2 linked regions of the Ovis aries genome follow. Each later gene encodes a partner of the first gene's protein in a complex. Links are inferred from orthologs where the notes say so. Each region holds a gene or a part of one and is shown on either strand. Other genes may lie near its edges.

The links. The genes of interacting proteins can lie anywhere in the genome.
Region 2: STRIP2 (region 1) and PDCD10 share a complex: the UniProt entries of both Homo sapiens proteins name them as parts of the core of STRIPAK complex. The link is inferred for Ovis aries from reciprocal best matches to the Homo sapiens genes STRIP2 and PDCD10.

The regions. Positions count from the first base shown.
Region 1 is NC_056057.1:95,051,012-95,054,511, forward strand, and holds part of STRIP2 (striatin-interacting protein 2), read left to right. Parts: intron 1-371; coding exon 372-446; intron 447-1,135; coding exon 1,136-1,233; intron 1,234-1,668; coding exon 1,669-1,945; intron 1,946-3,500. UniProt on the Homo sapiens protein: Plays a role in the regulation of cell morphology and cytoskeletal organization. Required in the control of cell shape. Calmodulin-binding scaffolding protein which is the center of the striatin-interacting phosphatase and kinase (STRIPAK) complexes.
Region 2 is NC_056054.1:220,413,142-220,416,641, reverse strand, and holds part of PDCD10 (programmed cell death protein 10), read right to left. Parts: intron 2,384-3,500; coding exon 2,266-2,383; intron 711-2,265; coding exon 584-710; intron 1-583. UniProt on the Homo sapiens protein: Promotes cell proliferation. Modulates apoptotic pathways. Increases mitogen-activated protein kinase activity and STK26 activity. Important for cell migration, and for normal structure and assembly of the Golgi complex.

The sequences.
Region 1 (3,500 bases):
CTGTGGCCTGAGTTAAGCCCATTATGTACAGCAAAGCAGTGGTATGAACCAAATCCTCAGTGGGAGTTCTGACTCTGACCTGGAAAGCGATATAGAAAGAACTCTGGATGGATTCCAGATAACGGGGCAACTAAAATCATAGGTTCTCAGGGCTGGAAGAGCGCTCTGAGGTCATCCAGACCAGCTCTCTGATCCTTGAAAGAGGAGATTAGGTCTCGGAGAGGGAAAGTAACTGACCCAAGGTCCTGCAGTGACTCATGAACGCAGCTCGGGTACGAAGCTCTTGTCCTGCCATCCTCCACAGCCAAGGAAAGATAGATTTTGGTTAACTGGAAAATGATCTGGGCAAACCGTGTATTTTCTTGCTGCAGGGGGAAGAGGTGGTACCAGAGACACCATGCGAAATCCTCTACCAGGGCATGCTGTATAGCCTCCCCCAGTACATGGTAAGGAGACAGCCAGGTCCGGGCTGTGAGAGCTTCTCAGCTGCGAGGGAGAGATGACAGAGAGCCCTTTTAAGCTGAGCCCTCTGTCACTTGAGTTTGCTTCCTGAGCCTTCACCCACCGGGTGGTGTTCTCTGACACTTCAGAATTCTGATCTCCCCTTGGGGCTCCTCCCAGAGGAAGGAGGACTTGTCTCTACCTCCAAGTCCTTGTTTGGGAGAGGTAGGGAATGGGGTAGGCTCCATGCAGGATGCACCAGGGGCCTCTCCTGAGTAAGTGCCTTAGTTCCTCCGAGGTGGCTTCCGGTGTCCTAATTGGCCTCAGTCTCCCAGGGGAGGATGCTGATGGTCTGAGGGAGAGGAAGGAAGAGGGTGGGGGAGGGGTGGATCTTGCCTTTCCCTCCGACCTAATCTCTAGGCATTGCCCCCACTCTCTCTGCTCCTTCTCTCATCCTCTTTGGAAAGAGCAGTCTTGATGCAGAACAGTCTGTAAGCACATCTCTTCAGGCTCTTTAGCCTCCCAGGCAGGCCTGTCAGGACTGGGCACCAGTTTGCCCTTCTGGAGGTAGGGAGCTTTGGTTATTGAGTGAAGGACTTGGAGCAAGGATTTCAAACACTTCTCTTAGAGCTGTTGAGTTGTGGAAGGATAGCCTTGTTGAATGGGGTAGATTTCCTCTTTTTCTGCTTCCCAGATTGCTCTGCTTAAGATTCTACTGGCTGCAGCCCCCACCTCCAAGGCTAAGACAGACTCTATCAATATCCTGGCAGACGTCCTGCCTGAGGAGATGCCGTAAGTGCTTCAGTGGGGGCAGCTGGTAATACTCACTCTCTTGTCTGCAGAGTCTCTCTCATCCCTGCCTCACCTTGTTAACACTTACAGGGATTGTCTCCAAGGAGATCTCTCTGCCACCAGTAGCCCCTTTCCACTGCAGTGCTCTCTCTGTGCTCTTTTGAGCCCAGAACTGAGGGTCTGGAGGGCCACATCACTGGCTGCATGTGTATGTGGGTGGACATTGCTAAGAGACAAGCTTGCCAAAGGCGAGAGAGACACAAAGGTATCAGAGGAACTTTTTTCTCCAGACAGACTCACAAGTGGGAACTCTGGAGGTTTCCTAGCACAGCTCAGGTGTCTCAGGTTCTGGCTTACTGGTGTGTATTGTATGTGTCCCCGTAGGCCTCTCTCTAAGGCCACCCTCTGCACTGACTCTTCCTTTCCCTGTTGTAGCATCACTGTTCTCCAAAGCATGAAGCTGGGCATCGATGTGAACAGGCACAAGGAGATCATTGTAAAGAGCATCTCTGCCCTGCTCCTGCTGCTCCTCAAACACTTCAAACTGAACCACATCTACCAGGTGAGCAGCTCAGAGCACTTCTCCACACCCCTCAGGTGTCCTCCAGGTCCTGCCGTCCAAAGGAAGAACACAAGGGCCTTGGAGTCCAGCAGAGCATCGTTCTTTGTCTTACGGAATTCAGATACGTGTTGCACAAGCTTGGGGCACAAGGTGGGGAATTGTCCTAGAAAGTTGCAAATGTCTGTGTCCTTTGAACATTATCCAGGGGTCGTAGGTAGGAATCCCTAGCTTCTTGGGAATATGCCCAGCCAGCTTTGAAGCAATGGAAGACAGGACTCAAGCATGCCACCAAAAGAGGGGGTGGGGAGTGTCGAGCATACTTTTCTGTATGTGAAGCACTGTTCTAACATTTGAGATAGACTCCTATATAAGGCATCCTCTAGCTCGTAAGGGCTTTGAAGTTTTATAAAGGATACAGATGTAAAGTAGGCAATTATGGAGTGATAAGTGCTGTGTTACAGGTAAGCATTGGCTGCCTTGGAAACACCTAATCCAGCCTGAGGTGGAGAAGCTGTGACTCCTAACCTGAGTCCTACAGAAAACTTGTTAGCCAGGGTGCAGGAGTTGTCAGGGAATGATGGCAGGAAGCATTTAAAGCAGAAAAGCTGGTTTGTGAAACTCCTGAGGGGAGAGGGCAAAGTACCTTTGGAAACTAATCAAACGTTTCTGGAGATCTGCATGAGGTAGAGGGAGACGGGGAGCTCTGGTGGTAACGCAAAGCTGGAGAGGGTGGTGGGGAGTAGAAAGCGAAACCTGTGCCAGCGCACGGTTAGGGAGTAATTACACTGTGGCCAGCTCTCCGAGAGGTTCATCTGGGATCTCATCAAAGTCTCTCAACCCTGCGAGGTGGGTCTTACTTTACTCCACTGAGGCTAAAAGAGGTTAAGAACCTGCCATAAGAGCAATGTTTGCCATGCCACGGAGTTTGGACTTGGTGCTGTGGGTGTTGCCAAGACACAGGAGAAGATGAGGGCAGTGAGTGAGTGTTCTCTGCGGTGAGACATGGAGAGGAGGTGGAGCTTCTCACTCTTGCACAGAGGCTCTGCCCCATTCCTCCTGAGAAGTCAGAACCGAGCTTGCTGCTAAAACAGCAGGAGCTCCGTGCAGGGAGGCCCTGCAGAGTCTGTGTCCATGGCAGGTGCATCTGTACAACCTGGATATGTATCCACTTCAGTGCATTCAGAGACATCTTGTAGTGTGTTAGGGTACCCCGAGGACGCACACCTCTACCAGTGTTTGCAGAGCAGCAGCAGGGCTGGGAGGAGTAGGGAGGGATGAGTGAGAAATAGTGTTCCTAGTAGAAAGAGATCTGCCTATGTGTGCTTCTGTCTGCTTCTCTTGGTGGGCAGTATGTGGATCAACAGCCAGACAGGTGGGTGGCTTGATGGGCCTTGCCAGTACATGTCAGTGTGTCCTGACAAGGCTACAGACGTGTCTCAAACTGAAAGATGTTTCCCATCACTTGACAGTAGGTTTGTATTGGCTCCTGCACCTGAGGCTTTGCAAAATACTCTGGGTCAGCTGCCAGGGAGAAGATATTTGAGCAGAAGAGAGAACTGGGCAACACAAGCTGACTCCTCACCTCTAGCCATACACCTTGGGAGAGGGCAGCTAAGTGTGCTGCCATGGCTATTTTTTGGTGATCAGGAATCAGTAAGAGCTAAAGGAATTAAAACACTGCAGTTCTGTGCTTTTTCAACCAGTT
Region 2 (3,500 bases), on another chromosome or scaffold:
CCACCCTCTCACCCCTGAGAACGCCCCTGGGTAGAGGTGCTGTGTCCCTGTTTGAGAAGAACCCTTCTTGCTGCTGTCCATCAGCCTGGTTCCTGGCTGAACTGAACTGTGTCAGCTCAAACTCTTTCATTCTACATCCCAAATGCAAGGATTCTGGGAGGTTCACAACTTGGTCAGTATTAAGAAGTGCTGTTTACAACTAAGAGTACATCATTATGCTAGTAACATGAACTATTCCTGAAATAAAACACAGCATTGGTATCCTTTGTTATCAGTCTCTTCAACTACCCTCTTCACTTTAATGTGACATTTACATTCTTCCACTTCTTATGAGGTTCAAACTGCATTCCAGTTCATGTACATTCCATTCTCTGCTTTTAAATGAAACAGTCTAAAATATTTTACTGGACTCAGAAGCCAGAGGCTGTTTAGAAATTAATAAAAAATACAGTAATTTTCAAATTTTTATTTCAAATTAATATTTCAACTTAATATTACTGTCATACCACAGTAAAACATCTAAAATGAGTGGTCTTTTTGAAGTTCTTAAAAAAGAAGAAGAACCAAACAAAAAGCTGCTTACTTGATTGTCTGCAGAAACCTCACTCTGTCGTTGATCTCATCTGGGATCTTACTGAGAATTTGTTTAAGTGCTCGTGCCTTTTCATTTAGGTCCTGGAATTCTGGCTCCGGTCGTTCAATCATATACTCTGATGAAATAAATACATAGTAAAAAAACATCATGCAACTTGCTGCCAAATTCAAGTCTAAGAATTTCCAATGTGTTGGTCAAGGAGGTGAGTGGGAGATAAAAGGCTAGAAAACTAGGAAGAACGAGGTTGCAAAGCAGAATTCATTACAGTTTAACTTAGTTCAGTAATTGTATTAGGGCTCCCTCCAAGTAAAATATCAGAAGATAAAAAAATGAACATCTTCAATATGGGATAAATGGAAATTCCATGAAATCTTAGAAATAAATAAAATTTAAAAGGAAGGCCCAATCAAATTTTTCAGGCCTCTCAAGTTACATTTCACAAGGAAACAATAAGTAATGACATTTGTAACAAATACAATGGCAATATGTATCTGACAATTGTGAATATGAGTTTAATTAAAGAAATCTCTACATTCAACATACAATGGCTCCTTACATCAAAACTCCAAACCTACTAGTCTTCAGCACATTCTTGAAATCTCACTTAAAACAAAAATACCACCATACAAAGTCCAACATACAGCTTGGCATCACAAAACAGCAACTTTGGTAAGGAAGTTTAGTCAGATGCAGCAAAGGCAAAATTTCACAACCAGATCCACTGTAGACTCGGAAACATTACAGCTCTACCAACTCATCAATACAACCTGGCCTGACAGGCTGCAGGTGCTCAATCCAGAATAATAATGAGGCCTTTCTCATAATTTACAGAATCAGTTAAAACATCTATTTTTGTTCTCGCTTAATAAACATGAGAAATTATACCTCTATGTTTTTCTAAATTAGAGGGAAAATGACTACTAAATTTCAGTGAAACCCAGGGCTTCCTAGGTGGCTCAGTGGTAGAGAATCCATCTGATAATGCAGGAAATGCGGCAGACAATGGGTTCGAACCCTGGGTTGGGAAGATCCCCTAGAGAAGGAGATGGCAACCCACTCCAGGATTCTTGCCTGGAGAATCCCATGGACAGAGGAGCCTGGTGGGCTACAGTCCCTGGGGTTGCAGAGTTGGACATGACTTAGCGACCAAGCACACATACATTTCTAATTATTTAAAAAAGCAAAAATGTGAAAAGAAGCCAAAAGGATGATTAGTAATATTGTTCTCACAAATCTATATTTGAAAAAAAAAAAAAAACCACAAACATGCTATACCAAAGTTTAAAAAGAAGAAAATTCATTACTTTCAAACTGGTATCTGCATAAAGTCAACACAGAATAAAACCACCATTCCAAGGAGCTTGTCTCTTCATTAAACTAGAACTCATCAAATGTATTAATTAATAGGAGGGAAATAAACAAATGCTTTACTTCTAGTAACTCAATCTGACAAAAAATAAAAAGAACTACATGTCTATTTTATATGGGTTCCTCCCTGCACCCCCCCATTTTCATTTCAAAATAATAACAATAACACTAACAGTAAGAGGGAAGGGAGGAGAAGGGGAAGGGGAGAGGAAGGGAGGGGAGGAGTCACTTTTATCAAATAAGGAAGATTTGGAGGAGCTTTTCAGCATCTGTAAGAAAACTAAACAAGACTTTTTGATTACCTTCTACATCATCAGCTGCCATTCGAAGAAGGGATTCTGTGAAGTTGACTTCTACACTTTTTTTCTCTAAAATTTTCATAATTATGTCTTGCGTGAGTCCTGGATTTTCTTTTTCAGCCTATAAGAAAGAGAAAGATGGTTTTGAAATACAGAAACTGAATCAACATTTTAAAGCCAAAACCTAACCATTCAGAATCTCTTAGGACCTCCTTAAACTGATCAACTTACAAATAAGGGCAGAAATCTTTGCAAAGCAAGCGTCGTGATGCCATTCACTTATGTGTGGGGAAAGTTTGTGCATCCACAGATTACTACAGTCACGATCCAAACTTCCATCTGAACATAATGTATTTAACATTTCCTACTTCTCATTTATACTCTCTTGCAATCAAACTAATAACAAACATAGAAATAAAGAGTAAATATATGTACATGTATATATATACATATAGATACAGTTTTTCAATTACTTTTTTCAGTAGTTTAAAAACACTGAAGATTTTTAGCTCTTTTTCATTAAGCAATATTTCAACTTGAAAATCAAACAGTAACTCATCTCACCAATTTCTTTCCTTCAGATTCTCTGCATTTAAATTAACAAGCTGTCAGGAAAAACAACAACAACAAAAAAACCAGGATTCATTTTGGAGGTTTTATTGAAGCTTTATGATCCCTTAACTATATTCTCACACAGTGATATTCATTTCCTACTTTATTTTTGCAGCAAGAATATTATCTCCTTCACTAGCTTTCAGAAAACCATTAATCCTTTTACTATCTCCTGAGCTTGTTTCACTAATGAGCTTGCATTGATTCTGTTACTTACATTCCCTAGGGCACTAAAATCTTCTAGCTATTTCAAGATTGAACATAAAAAGTCTTGAGTTAACCAAAGTTAGTTTTCAAGATTTGGATTTTCCCTTGTAATTCTGCCCCATTTTATTATTTTCAAAAATTGTTGTACTCACACGGTGTTTCTTTTAGGACGCCTGCCAATTTTAATCATTATGCTGATAATTTCCTCTCTTTTTACCCTGGTACTACATAGTAAATATGATCTATCAAATGGCAATCTATTTGCTTCCTGATGGGCCAAGTTATGTTAGCCTATGCCTCCTCAAGTCTGGTATCACTGCCGTTTTAGCTTTCTTCAGCTCTTACATTATAACACCTTGCTTCTTATTAGATTTCAAGTACCCGAAACTGAAAGGTTATGGAACGAAAGCAGAAAAGGA